Linked DNA regions of Canis lupus familiaris. The protein of the gene in region 1 purifies or fractionates together with the protein of each later gene. This does not show direct contact. Links are inferred from orthologs where the notes say so. Each region holds a gene or a part of one and is shown on either strand. Other genes may lie near its edges. The genes, in order: MAD2L1 and RNF8.

The links.
Region 2: the proteins of MAD2L1 (region 1) and RNF8 purify together in Homo sapiens (co-immunoprecipitation; 3 studies listed by BioGRID and IntAct, with this or other methods). This does not show direct contact. The link is inferred for Canis lupus familiaris from reciprocal best matches to the Homo sapiens genes MAD2L1 and RNF8.

Annotation. Positions count from the first base shown.
Region 1 is NC_049239.1:56,409,404-56,417,318, reverse strand, and holds the start of MAD2L1 (mitotic spindle assembly checkpoint protein MAD2A), read right to left. Parts: upstream 5,166-7,915; 5' UTR 5,046-5,165; coding exon 4,973-5,045; intron 3,890-4,972; coding exon 3,743-3,889; intron 747-3,742; coding exon 626-746; intron 1-625. UniProt on the Homo sapiens protein: Component of the spindle-assembly checkpoint that prevents the onset of anaphase until all chromosomes are properly aligned at the metaphase plate.
Region 2 is NC_049233.1:6,578,410-6,585,669, reverse strand, and holds part of RNF8 (E3 ubiquitin-protein ligase RNF8), read right to left. Parts: intron 5,501-7,260; coding exon 4,760-5,500; intron 2,499-4,759; coding exon 2,436-2,498; intron 1-2,435. UniProt on the Homo sapiens protein: E3 ubiquitin-protein ligase that plays a key role in DNA damage signaling via 2 distinct roles: by mediating the 'Lys-63'-linked ubiquitination of histones H2A and H2AX and promoting the recruitment of DNA repair proteins at double-strand breaks (DSBs) sites, and by catalyzing 'Lys-48'-linked ubiquitination to remove target proteins from DNA damage sites.

The DNA.
Region 1 (7,915 bases):
GTAGTGCTTCAAATAAGATGTTATATCAAGTTATTTTTATAATTAAACACTTTCTAAAATAGACCAAAGGCTTCAGGAACTACATTTCATTATGAGAGAGTTCTGAGTTTACAGGTAAGCATGCCTAGGACAATGCTAAGAATTAGCATATAATGAGGGGCATTTCCCATCCAGAGGACCTAAGAACTTCAGTTAAGAGTGTCTTAGGAAGTTCATAGCATTAAATGAAATACAGTAGAGCTGCAAAATAAGCTAGTAGAAAGTCTAGGATAATACTTCACGGTTAAAAGTACCTTGACACAATTCATTAAATGGCCCACCTAATATATCATGTGTAGCTTACATATAGCACCATAAATACTAAAGGTTGAAATTTATGGATTTTAGACTAAGGGCAATTATGTTAAAAGTACACTATACAAGTCCATAATAGGCACAACTCTTTTGTGAGCACAGTTTGTGAGTCTAATTCTTCTCCACGGGAGATGAAAGATCGAATCTAACATATTTAGAAACAAACTACCTTATACAAAACTATTTCAATATAGTTAGAACTCATTTACTCAAGAAAACAAGTTTGGGAAAAAAAATCTATGAAAGTGGAAGCAATTTAATTCATACTTACTTGTCATCTTTTGCAGTCTTGTCGCACTCAATATCAAACTGCCACCTTTCAAGGACTTCACCGCTTTCAATATTTGAGATGACTACCACCAGTTTCTGAACTGAACACTTGTATAACCAATCTGCAATGCATAACAAGGCATCTTTTTTGGTTCACTGCATTACAAAGTAACTCTCTTCCCAGGTCTCACTTTCTATCCTTAGCAAATTCCTACCACTGGTATTTTGGAACTCCTCCAACCTGTACAGAAAACTTGCCTCATAATAACCTAGCTCCTGTTTTTCAATTCTCAGTATCTGTACCAGATACTGAATGCTAAGGACAGAGTAGTGAACATGCAGTATACTCTAATCCAAGGTAAACTGCAGAAGATGAGCATTAACCTAATCACTGCAGTAATAAATGTAAAATTTTAATTGTAATAAATGCTAAGAAGGTACAGTATGTGATCCAATGAGAGAATATAGGAAAATCTGACTCCGGGAATTCTCACTCGACTTCAATTCTAAATAAATACCATTAAATATGCAAAAGGATACAGAAAATGTACAGGTCTTAAATACTGAAAAGCGAAAAGTATCTGACCAGAGGATTGAAAGGGTAATACAAAGGGAGAATGAACAAGGTCGGTTTGTACAAGATACATAGGGGTCAGACCACACAAGGCCACATGGACTAAATTAAAGAACTTATACTTCAAGAACCAGGGAAGTCATTACTTTGTATAGGGTGTGATGTGATTAAACTTATATTTCAGACTATACTTTTGCCTGCGATGTGTGGAAAGTAGAGTGGAAGAGAGGATCTAGGGATGCTAAATGATTACCTCAAGCAAGAGGTACTGAAGGCTTATAGAAGGATAAATTGGTAGAGATAGATAAGTATAGGTAGAGTCCAGAGATTTCGTGGTTAAAATTGTTAAGATTTATTGGATACTAATGAAACTAAGGAAGAGGAAATACTCAGGGATAGTTCCCAACTTTCTGGTTTATACCACTGGTTGGAAGGTTGATCCGTTCACTGAGAGAAAGAGAATGGAAATGAGACATGATGCTTACAGTTTTTTTTAAAGGTTTTCTTTTTCTTCATTTTTTTTTAAGATTTTATGTATTTATTCATGAGAGACAGAGAGAGAGAGAGAGAGAGAGAGAGAGAGGCAGAGACACAGGCAGAGGGAGAAGCTGGCTCCATGCAGGAGCCTGATGTGGGACTCGATCCCAGGTCTTCGGGATCATGCCCTGGGCTGAAGGCAGCGCTAAACCGCTGAGCCACCTGGGCTGCCCTAAGGTTTTATTTCTAAGTAATATCCACACCCAATGTGGAGCTGGAACTAACAACCCAAGATCAAGAGTTGCATGCTCTACTGACTGAGCCAGCCAGGACCCCCTTACATTTAGTTTTCAAGTATCACTAGGATAGCCACATGTGGATATCAAGGGAGCCACTTACTATATGAGCAAAGAGAAGACTTGGGTTGGATGTATGCTTGTGAGTCAACTACACAAAGATTGTTAGTGAAGTTATGTATGTGTCAGAAATCATCTTAGAGATTATAATAAGAGGGCCTCATAATGAGCCCTGAATTAATCTTGGAACTTGGGATAATATACTCAAGAATACACAGTTGTTTTTTTTCAAGAGACAAAAACAATCTTGTAATATTTAGGGCTTGTGGGCCACCTAGGTCTCTTGTGTAGTCTTTTAAAAACTAGCTTTTAAAAATCTGAAAATATTCTTAGTTTGCAGGTAGTACAAAAATAGGCCACTTGCTGGATATGGGCGGTCAGTCTTGCTGACCCCTTGACAAAAATCAGCTTTTTCTCAATTTTGCTCTGAAAAGGAAGAGATTGGGTAGTCACTTAAAGATCTGGGGTGTGTGGAAATTTTTTTCTTTTAAAACTGAAGACAGATGAAACCAATGAAAATATCTCAAAACAAAGAAGTCAGAAATACCAGAGAAGAACTAGGGTAAAGTCCTTAGGAAGGCTAGAGTGATGGGGATTCAAAGAGATCGAACAATTTGCCTCTAAGAAGAGCAATTCCTCCATTCTAACTAAAAGGGACAAATTAAATCGGAAGGTTTAATTCACATACAACTCACATACAACTGAGGTGAAATGTCATCAGTGTAGTCTTAAAGGAGACAACCTAAAATCAGTAGCTTAGGCAGGGCTTGCTTCTTCATCAAATTAAGGTGACATAGATTCTTAGTTACTTCTATGTTTCAGGCTAAGTAATCTGAGTATAGCCCTGGGTGATTTAGCCCTGAAGATGATAAAAATATGATTAATAGAATTTAAAAAATAAAGCCCCTTGAAACAGAAAATATATATATGACTCAGGAATTAAAAAAAAATTACTGTAATTTTTTTGGGAACTAGTTTTGGAAGGTCAAATGAGGAGCCAGGGAGAAACATCCTATAACACAGAAAAATTAGAAGTGAGAATCCTAAGTAGAGAAAAAGATGGGGGGAAAAAAAGAATAGATGGAGAACAAGTATTCATTCAACAAGTATTCAGTAATTTCTTGAGCTAAGAAAAAACAGTGAGTGTTCAGATAGAAATGGCTAACTTACAGGCAGGATTTTAACAAAGACAATTGAAGACAGTAAGACATTAAAAAACTTTATTGGGTACTCTATTAGTAGTATTTTTTTTTTTTTTTAAGTTTAGTTCCCAGGCTGGATTCAATTTCATTTTATCTTAAAATAATGATGGTTTTAAACTCTAGGCAGCTATAGAAAATATATCATGTTAAAAATATATAGTGGATTTCTCTCCAATAATAAACATCATCATAGTTATGTAAAATTCCAACTTGTTCCACCTGGCTACACGAACTGCAAAAATCACTTCAAAGGGAGTTGATAGAGATTGTTTTGTGAAGCCAGATCAGATTTCTAACATCAAAGTATTTAGCCCACTCAAAATGTGGTAGGGAAGAGTGGACTTTCTTTCAACTTATTATTTGCTTCCTTCCGATTGAGAATCACTGTATTTGAAATTGCAGTGTTTTACACCTCTTTGTATAGCGCTGAAAAATGAACACCAAGATGCCAGAAAGTACGGGTCCAAGAAAGCCTGCAAAACTCAAAATGGTTTTCAACAATTAAATACCTTTCAGTTGTTCCACTACATTATTTAGGTATTTCATGAGCTCAGGATCAGTTGTTACAAGCAAGGTGAGTCCGTATTTCTGCACTCTGGTAAAGGTTTCAGATGGATATATGCCACGCTGATATAAAATGCTGTTGATGCCAAATGCTGAAAACAAAAGGAATGTTAAAGTCATTTTCACTTTGCAACTCTGGAAAATAAAACCTATTTAGATGTGGCTGCGGTTTCATTCCTGGTATCAAACTGAAAAAGCCTAAACGTGCATTTGTGGGTGTCTTGCTGAAAGCAGAGTAAGTGAAAAGTGCCACTGAAAATCCTTAAAAATGTTGCTTCTAAGTAAAAAGAACACGATACCTGCGTTTATGCGGAACTAAAAATGCCAAACTGCATTAACCTAGTGTCAAAGTAGAACTACAAGCTCACGGTAATGCAAGCCCCAATTCAGGTTATGTGATCACAGGGTGTCGAAATAGGCTTTTGCGTCTGGATTAGCAACTGATTAACCGGTCCAATGTTCCAAAGCAAGCCTCTCCCTCACTTTTCCCTCCTCTTCTCCTACCAGATTCCATCAGAGGGTACAAACATGGCCTGGTCCAGGACAGAGTTTCCTAAATCTAGTCCATCGCCGTCAGTACCGGGGTCAAAGCTTGGTGGAAGGGCTATTCAAGATATACTGGGGCCCCACCCCGCTCGGGGTGGGCGTAGGCGTGGGGCTGGGGCCGGGCTGGGAAGCGTGTCGGATCCGCCGTTTAAAGCAAGGCTGCTGGGATCCCTGGTGGCGCAGCGGTTTAGCGCCTGCCTTTGGCCCAGGGCGCGATCCTGGAGACCCGGGATCGAATCCCACGTCGGGCTCCCGGTCCACATCGGGCTCCCGGTGCATGGAGCCTGCTTCTCCTTCTGCCTGTGTTTCTGCCTCTCTCTCTCTCTCTCTATCATAAATTAATTAATTAATTAATTAAAAAAATTTAAAAAAAAATAAAGCAAGGCTGCTGGTGGAGGGGCCGCAGCGCCAGGCGGGCCTCGGCAGCACCTGGGCTTCCTGCTCCACCAGGAGCGAGGCGCCCGGGGGTGGCGCCTGCATCCGCCTCCTCCTAGATTAGATTCTCCAGCCCGGCGGGCGCTGGAGCAAAGAGAGCCGACCCCGACCCCCGCCTCCGTGGCCGGGCCGGGCCTCCAGGGCGGCCTGGCCTCAGCTCTCCCCGCCCTCTGGCCTGCGCAAGGGGGACTTACAGAAGAACTCGGCCACGATTTCGGCGCTCCCGCGCAGGGTGATGCCTTGCTCCCGGGAGAGCTGCAGCGCCATGGCCAGGCCTAGGGACGAGGGAGCGCGCTGCTGCCCGGCGGACGGCGACGCCACAGCCTCCAACGGAAGTTCCCCGCCAGTCGTTTCAAAAGTAACGACGCAGCACGCCAGGGGCCCTCCGCGCAGGCGCGACGAGCCTCCCGGCAGGCCCAGCGCCAGTCTCCTCGCTCGCGGGAGGGGCGCCTCGCGCAGGCGCAGTGGGTAGGCGTGGTCAGGCACTTCCGGGTTGTCGGGCACGGAAGGGTCCCTACCGAGCACCTGTAATTGTGGTCGCCGGGTCGCAGCTGAGGCGAGACGACCGCAAAACCTGGCTTTGACGCCCGCTCCCGAGGCCTGCGGAGTGAGCAGCCCAGGATCCCGGTTCGTCAGTTTCAAAGCTATTTTCAGAGTGATGTGAACGCGCCAGTTGCATCTTAACGTGGCCCAGGGACCCCGCCCACTCCCTAGTGGGCGATTGAAACTTGCTTAGATACTCTGGGAGTCAGTCAAGAAACCGCGTGCGTGGCGGTCCAGCCACAGCTTGAGAAGGCCTGGTGACTGTGTGCGGGCGCAGCTGTTAAGGAACTGGGGGGCAGACCCGGTGGCTCGGCGGTTTGGCGCCGCCTTCTGCCAGGGCGTGATCCTGGAGACCCGGGATCAAGTCCCACGTCGGGCTCCCTGCGTGGAGCCTGCTTCTCCCTCTGCCTGTGTCTCTGCCTCTCTCTCTCTCTCTCTCTCTCCTCTCTGTGTATTCTCATGAATAAATTAATAAAATCTTACACACACACAAAAAAAAGAAATTGGGGGGGGCGGCCCTGGTGGCCCAGCAGTTGAGCGCTGCCTTCAGCCCGGGTGTGACCCTGGAGACCAGGGATGGAGTCCCTCCAGCCCTAATCCCTAAAGCCTAAACCCTAACCCTAACTCTAAATCCTGGACCTGGTAAATCTGGTCCCCATCTGGCCTCACCCAGTCCTGGTGACTTTGGTCCCCACCTGGGCCCCACCTGGACCTGACTGCTGTGGACTCCTTCGGGCCTCACCTGGAACTGGTGACTCTGATCCTATCTAGGCCTCACCCAGACCTGGTGACTCTGGTCCTCACCTGGGCATCATTGGGACCCGGTTACTCTGTTCCACACCTGAGCCTCACCTGGACATGATGACTCTGGAACCCCTCTGGGCCTCACCCTGACCTGGTGACTCTGGTCCTCAACTGGGCCTCACCTGGACCTAGTGAATATGCTCCCCACCAGGGCCTCATCTGGACCTGGTGACTCTGGTCCCTACCTGGGCATCATCGGGACATGGTTACTCTATTCCTCACTGGGACTCACCTGGACCTCGTAACTCTGGTCCTCACTTTGACCTCTTCTGTACCTGGTGACTCTGGCCCCACCTGGGCCTCAACGGAACTGGTGACTCTGATCTTCACCATGGCCTCACCTGGACCTGGTGAGTCTGGCTCCCACCAGGACCTCACCTGGACCTTGTGTCCCTTGTTTCCTTCTAGCCTCATCTGTACCTGGTGACTCCGGTCCCCATCTGGGCCTCACCTGGCCCTGGTGACACTGGTCCTCTGCTTGGCCTTACCTGGACCTGGTGACTGTGTTCCCCACCTGTGCCTCACCTGGATCCAGTGACTGTGTTCCCCACCTGGGCCTCACCCGGACCTGGTGAATCTGTTTCCCACATCAGGTTCACCTGGACATGGTGACTGTGGTCCCCTTCTTGGCCTCACCTGAACCTGGTGACTCTGATCACCATCTGGGCCACACCTTGACTTGGTCACTCTGGTCTTCATCTGGGTGTCATTGGGACCTGGTTAATCTGTTCCACACCTGGGCCTCACTTGGACCGGGTGACTCTGGTTTGCACATGGACCTCACCTGGAGCTGGTACCTGTGGTGTCCTTCTGGCCTCACCTGGACATGGTGACTCTGGTCCCCATCTGGGCCTCACCTGGCCCTGGTGACACTGGTCCTCAGCTTGGCCTCACCTGGACCTGCTGAGTGTGGTTGCCACCTGGGTCACACCCGGACCTGGCGACTCTGGTCCCCACCGGGGCCTCCCCCGGACCTGGTGAATCTGGTCCTTACCTGTTCCTTACCCAGACCTGGTGACTGGTCACCACCTGGGCCTCACCTGGTCTTGGTGAATCTGGTCCACACCTGGGCTTCACCTGGACCTGGTGACTGTGGTCCCCACCTGGGCCGCAAATGGACCTGGTGGCTCTGGTTCCCACATGGGGCTCACCTGGACCTGGGTCCTATGGTCTCCTTCTAGGCCTCACCTGGACTTGGTGACTCTGATACTCATCTGGGCCTCACCTGTACCTGGTGACTCTGGTCCCCTCTTGTGCCTCAGCTGGACCTGTTGACTCTGGTCCTCAGTTTTGCCTCACCTGGACCTGGAGACTGTGTCCCCACCTGGGCCTCACCCAGACCTTGTGACTTTGGTCCCCACCTGGGCCTTACCTGGAGTTGGTGAATCTGGTCCCCACCTGGGATTCACCTGGACCTGGTGAGTCTGGTTGCCACCTGGGCCTCACCTGGACCTGGTGCCTCTGGGCTCCACCTGGGCCTCAACCTGGACCTGGTCTTTTTGGTCCCCACCTGAGCCTCATCTGGTCCTGGTGGCTCTGGGTCCCACATGGGCCTCACCTGTACCTGCTGACTGTGGTCCTCACGTGGTCCTCACCCAGACCTGGTGACTGGTATGTGAGGAGTCTGCTCCAGATTCCCCCTCTCCCTCCACCCCTCCCCACTGCACCCTCTCTCAAGTAAATGTTCTGAAAATTAACATCAAGTCATGTGAGCATCTTTATCCCCTCTTCAGAGGTGCCTTCATATGTGTAATGACCATTTTAATGCCTTTCATGGACCCACTGTGAGT
Region 2 (7,260 bases), on another chromosome or scaffold:
CTTACCTGCTGGTTTTTTTTTTTTTTTTTTCAGGGAATGGGGCAGCTAAAAAGGGAGGTCATCAAATCCACTAATCCCTCTGGAAATAACCCAACCTCAACTGCCATCCAAATCAACTGAAGAACTTACATTGCCTTCCAGAGAGTCTGATTCTGTAGGTTTGGCTGGGGGCCCAGGAATGTGGATTTTTAAAAAGCCACTCTCAAGTGATTCTGGGAACCAATGCTCAAGAGCTGGTAAGTAAATGTGAGGCTACCCAGTACTGGGCATGGCTTTTAAGAAATAATCAGGGAGAAATGGGATTTCTAGATAATCATTTTCGTTGAAATAAAAAAGACCTTCAACCTATTTATTCTATAAATCACATACTACGTGCTTGTAAGGCAGTGCTGCCTGAACCCTGCCTATGTCTTCTGGAAGTAGACACACCCAAGAGCTAACAGCTCAATCATTGTGACTAACTGCCTACACTGAATGTCAAGAGATTCTACTTCTATAAAAATTTCTGAGCACCGTTGTTTTAAGTATAGCTTACACTTTCTCACCTCAAATCCTTTCTTAAAGAAGGTGGAGTAAAGGTAAGTATTTCTGAAAAGATATTACCCAAGAAAACGAATTTTAAAATGTGGGTCTCGGGCAGCCTGGGGGGCTCAGCGGTTTAGCGCCGCCTTCAGCCGAGGCGTGATCCTGGAGTCTGGGGATCGAGTCCCACATCGGGCTCCCTGCACAGAGCCTGCTTCTCCCTCTGCCTGTGTCTCTGCCTCTCTCTCTCTCTCTATCTCTCATGAATAAATAAATAAAATCTTTAAAAAATAAAAAATAATAAATCACTGGGCAGCCCTGGTGGCGCAGCAGTTTGGTGCCGCCTGCAGCCTGGGGTGTGATCCTGGAGACCTGGGATCAAGTCCCACATCGGGCTCCCTGCATGGAGCCTGCTTCTCCCTCTCCCTGTGTCTATGAATAAAGAAATAAAATCTTAAAAAAATAAATAAATAAAATAAAATGTGGGTCTCCCCCCCCCCCAAAAAAAGCAGCTATATCAGAAGGCATTCATCTTGACTACTGATTAGATGTATGTGCCTAGCTTACTCATCTATAAAAATGGGAAAACAGGTGCCCCTCCTACATCAGTGTTAAGAAATGAAATAACAGATAAGAAAGCATCTGGAAAAGTTTTTAAAGCTTTATGTAAATGCAAGTTTTTGTAATTGCCTAGAAAATAAAAAAGAATTGCTACAGAGGGAACAACAGAGTGGACCGAAAAACCACCATTGTTTCGGTTGAGAGAGTGATTATGTCCCCTAGGCATGTTATTATAACCATGACCTAAAAGTATCACATTTTTAGACTAATGAACAGAGACTGGCCAAGTACCTCATGCTAAATGTTTTCCTGCCTCTCAGGGGTGGGTTAAGGGGCTGTGGGTACAAGGTACTCTGTGATCCCCAGGGATTTCCAAGTAGCAGAATCTTACTCTTTTCCAGTCAATTTCAAAACAGTATCTCAATACAATTTAATAATGCTCTAAACAAGGATTATGCCTAGCTTCCCACCCTAGAAAATAAACAAGCTTAGAAAATAAAATTCCAAAAAGATTGAATTAATTTTCACCCAATTCTTTTCAAGGCTATTTGTGTACCCCTTAGGGAAATCAAAGTAGGCATCCCTCTCTGAGCTTACAATAATATGGGGCTGTTAGCACTCTGAGAAGGTTGGGAGGTAGATATGCAATAAAAGAACAGAAGGATAAATTCTAATGCAATTACTCACTCTTCTCAAGGAGATTTAAACCATCCCACTAACTCCCTGACAAACCTTGCATCAAACTACTGATCATGAACATATAAAGGACAGAAGACAGAGCAGGCTTCAAAGATGCAAAACAGCTTGTGAAAAATAATCAGCTGATAGTCAAGTTACATGAAATAAACGGCAGGCCATCTTTGAGGGGCATCTTATACCTGTGAGCTTTGCCCTTCAGTGAATCACTATGTTTGCTGACTGTTAAACTGCATTCTCAACCTGACCTAAAACACTTAATTGGAACATTCCTGAATGGTTTCTGGATGGCTTCAGCTCAGGGACAGTAAGGTAATAAAGGCCCTTGCAGGTCCTGGTGGCCAAGTCAGAGCTTAAAATTCCCCTCTGCTGCCCTCACCTTTCTAGAAGTGCAGCCACTTCCCCAGACAGCTTCCTAATTGCTACAGGCTTCGTCCCATCTTCACTAGAGCAATGCCTGCTCAGATGAAGATGTAAGTTTTCATGCTGAGGTCTGGCATGTCTGTGAGGCCAAATCTCTGACCTGATGGTGTGAGCAGCTGCTGTTTGCAGACTGGAGATGCCGCAGAGGTGTGTGCTAAGCAGAAGAGGCAGCCAGTGGCCATGTGAAGACCCAGCCCACTACAATCTCTGTACAGCGGCAAGAGAGAAGTTACCTCCTGCAGCGCCTGGGCCAGCTGTTGCTTCAGGTCCTCTTCTCCTTGATCCTTCTCCAAACCCTGCAAAGCCAAAAACAACATAGAAAGTTTCCCTGCAGGGAGGGGCAGAAGAGAAACAAAATCTAGCAATAGGCAGAGCAGACTGTCTTCTGTAAGCATCTACAAACAACAGAGGGCAGGGGGCGGGTGGAAAACCTCCTGTTTTACTTCAAGTTGTTGGCAGTAAGGGATTTGAGCAGAGTGAACTACTCAGGCACTGGACACCCTGGGGCTGTCACCGTCAAGCTACCACTCAGGTTGTTCTGGAAAGAACCCTGGGCTAATACTCCAAGTCTCCTTCACTGGCTAACACCATGACTGCCAGAGAGATGTAAACTGAGAGCTTCTAAGCCATCAAAAACCTAAACTCAGATATAACCCACTACGTTGACACTCATAATTTCCATCACATTACTTCCCTAGATTCTGGCCGCCTCATCTCTTAGTGTGATTCTCTATCACTTATTCTCCTTGCTGGAACTTACGCTCTGTTTCCTCCAACCACCCCTTTGATGTGGATGCCTTCCACATCACCACTACACTATGTCCAGCACCTTCTATAAGGCATTCTGGGCCCTTCCTCTTTAAGAATTACCTACCCATTTAATATGCTAACTGGAAATTATCCTCTAATTTAAATATATTCACTTAAAACTATTCTGATTATTTTATGTGTATAATACATCTTGTCTTTTCAACAAGATTGATTTCTTAATAGCAAAAACCATTTATTAAGTATCTTTATAACCACCTAAACTCCCAAGTATAGTACACCAGACAACAGTAGGTACTAAAGAAAAGAAAAAAAAAATCTGTGTGAAGAAGCAACAGTTAAATGAGCTTCTGAACAAGTAGTAGGAGTAGAATAAATCCTTAGGGCTTGGTGGCAGAGGGAAAAGCAGCTCATAAACAAAGAACTAGATACATTTCACCATGAGCTATATATATATATGACCCTCAAATACCCCAAGAGAATTTCTGCTTTTCTTTACCATTTTAATATAGAAAAGATTTTACAGCTATATCCTGAAGCATGCCCAAAGCAGCCACAAACTTTAATTAATAGTAACTCTTGTTCCTGGACACATTAGCCTTTAAAGAGGGTTCTGCTCTGGGGAGCGTGTCATACACTAAATATGTAAAGATGAACCTCCCTCTATTAGCTTCAAGAACTAGTCCAGGCTGGCAAGCGAAGCAAAAAGGTATGACATAAGCAAACAGTGTATACCCTTAGAAAGACCTATTTAATCCATGGCCTTTACTAATGCTACCAGTTCAAGGGGGTAGCAGAGATTAGAATGAAATTTATAAATTGTTCAGAAATAAGCCAACACTACTGGTTGTTCCTTGCCCTGAGCAAAGTAAACAAAACAGAAAAGCTTATTCACTTCAATCCTGATTGGTCCTTTTTATTTCTAAGTCAACAATGGGGAATTCTTGACATTCAGTATTACCTGAGCAAGTAGGTAGGAGTAAAACGTGTGCTTCTTGCCAGATGGGAACTGACATTTTGAGCAGGGACCAAGATCAGCTCTAGCCTAGAAGCTTTGTGCAAGAGCTTGTCATCTAGGTAAATGACTCAGGGATGGGGACACATTTGGTCTTACCCTGACACAGCTAAGACAATCATTATTCTACCTTCCCCCTCAACGCACTGGGGAAGGTGGCTTACCACTCAACTCAACAACAGAGTCACAGTATACCTTCCCCTCCCGCACTGGATGCTCAGGATAGAAACAAAAAAACATTTTCTGCCTTTCTAGACTCCCACTTCTAAGTTAGCTACAGAGTTAACTATCAGAGCTAGTGGCCAGGTACAAGGGCCAGGTACAAGGGCAGGTACAAGGGTTACCATCTGACCCACTGCTGCCTTGGGCTAAGTGGTTTGGCTTTGACACAGAAAAGAAAGGCAAGGATCACTATTGGTTTAACTGGAATGTACTATGATTCTGTGGCATCCTGACCTTCATCCAACCTCTCTCTGAATCTGCTTCAGTTCTCACGTGTCTCAGCTTTATATCCTGAGTTATATCCTGGCTGGCTCTAACAGTCACCTTACGCATCATGGCACCCAAACCCTGGCTCTTGATCATCATGCTAAAGCCTTAACCCTGTACTCTATCCCCTTCTCCCACCTCAAAGTCCTTTGTCCTCATTCCATCTCCTGTCCCTAGCACTCAGCATGTAGTTTCTAACACAGAAACAGTGAGCTGTGGCCATAGGCTCACCAAGGGCCCACCCACCCCTGAGGAGCATTGGTGTCCTTCTCTCATGTGTGGTACCTGGAGATGCTGCTCCTCTTCTTGGAAAGTCTTCTCTAGCTGTTCCACTCTGGCCTGCTGCTGGGCCTGCTCTGCACACAGCTGGGACTGTAAGTCCTGCAGTTCCTTCTCCATTTTCACAATTTTCTTTGAGTTCCCTTTTTGGGTCTGCCTTTTCACATTCAGGACAGCTACCTGTTTTTCCTGCATTTGTGTTTTCAGCTTCAGAATCCTGGACATAGTCACCTTGAACAGCTCTAAGCTGCTCTGAGATGCTGAAGGATTTGAGGCTTTCTGCTTCTTATGATGAAGCGCTACGACTTTTGTGGAGGAAGGGTAAACATGAGCATCTGTGGCCTTCTCACTTAGCTCAAGAGATGTCAACTTAGGATCCAAATATTCAGAAGGCTGACTGGCCACCTCACCTTTTCCATGAGATTTCACCGGCTGACCAGGTTTGTAAGACACTTTACTTATTTTGGATTTCAAATGTGAGGGGCCTTCAGCTCCAGGACCCTCCAATTCATCCAAACTGAATTTCCTTTTAGTTCTCAAACCCCTATTTTTTCCTATAATCTGATCATTCTTTGGAGCAAGACAAGGATACATCCTCTCCCAGTCTTCTTCAGTAACTTCATACTCATACTCCGCATTCTCCTTATTCTCTAGAGGTACCCCGAGCTGGATGTGGTCTCCTTTATGGATAGAATAGACCTTTAAAGGTTCTAGACGTTCTCTGTTCAGCCAAACACCATTCAGACTCTGGAGAAAGGGAAAGAAAGACAAAATAAGCTTCATGATTTTCCTCTTAACGGAATTTGTCTCCTGCTGCTGCAAAACCTTCTGCCTTTTCAGACGGAAAACCCTTGAGAAAAAATAGGAAAAGTTCATAAACCATCACCCTTAGAAATATCATTCTTCAAATAGTGCTGGCTTTTTACCTACATTTCACATTCATGCCTCCACAGAAAACTGCTGGTAAAACAGGCAGGAATCACCTTATTACTAGCAGATGAATTACTCAAATGCAGCAGCATTAAAATAAACTGCAATTGAATAGCTCCTATTGACCTAAACTGGGGGCAATGGCCCAAGACTGGAAAAATGGCTATTAGCGAAGGAAGCAGCATCTAATAATGAGGTTCAAAAGATAGGCTTAGCTAGGAAAGTCACACAAGCACTGTCTCTGAATGTGGCTCCTGAACACATTGGTAAGTGAGCAAAGCACTTCTCAGTACACATAAACCTAAAAAGAGTGTATCAGTACCTCATACTGGGGTCAAACTGCAGGTAGGATCTAACCCAATTAATAGCACCAGAGGTCCAGTGGGGAACACAGCCTCATGGTTAAGAACTGGAGCTCTGGCTCAGACAGACTTGAGTTCATAGCCCAAATGCACCACCTTGGGTTCATTAGTTGCCTGGCCTTCAGCAATTTACTTAAACTCCGTGTCTCAGTTGTGTCTGCAAAATAGGGATAGTAACAGTTCCCAACTCATACTGCTCTGTGAGGAATGAATGAAATAATACATGTAAAACACTAAGCACAGTGACTCACATATAATAAATGCTTGAAAAATATTTACTTTAGTGATTTAAATTAACCACAGTGTAGGGGTTAAGAGCATGGATGCTGGAGTCACACTGCCTAGACTTGTAATCTGGCTTCATCATATAATAACTGTGTGACTCTAGGTAACTTTCTTAGCCTCTCCATGCCCCAGTTACCACATCTATAAAATGGAGGATAATAATAGTCTCTCCCTCATGGAGTTTGTGTAGATTTAATGAGACGACATATGTAATATACTTAGAAAAGTGCCTGGCACATGGTAAGCATTATATAAGTGTTCACTACTATTATTATGTTCTGGCTCAATCGACTTATCAACAGTCATTTCAATTCTATGCTCAGCATCTTGCAAGGTAAATACACTGGGCACAAAAGTAGAAGATATGAAAACAACTTTTAGCAGCTGACTATGGAAAGGAAAACACAAGGGCACACATAAGTAAATGTGGGATAACACAGCACAACCTATAAATGTAAAGGACTATCATGAAGAGCTGGCTAGAGATCTCAAGAGATGCTAAATGGAGATGGCAGGTTCTAAAACAGATGTGAAACAAATGCAGGATTTAAAGTTTAAAGAGACAAGTGTGGGGGAGGGGCAGACACGCCTGGCTGGCACAGTCACAAAAGCATGCGACTAATGATTTTGGGGTCATGGGTTTGAGCCCCACGCTGGGTGTAGAGATGACTTAAATAAACTCAGAAGGGAGGGAGAGAGGAAAAAGAAAAGAGGGATCCCTGGGTGGCACAGCGGTTTGGCGCCTGCCTTTGGCCCAGGGCGCGATCCTGGAGACCCGGGATCGAATCCCACATCAGGCTCCCGGTGCTTGGAGCCTGCTTCTCCCTCTGCCTATGTCTCTGCCTCTCTCTCTCCCTCTCTCTCTGTGACTATCATAAATAATAAATTAAAAAAAATATATTAAAAAAAAAGAAAAAGAAAAAGAAAAAG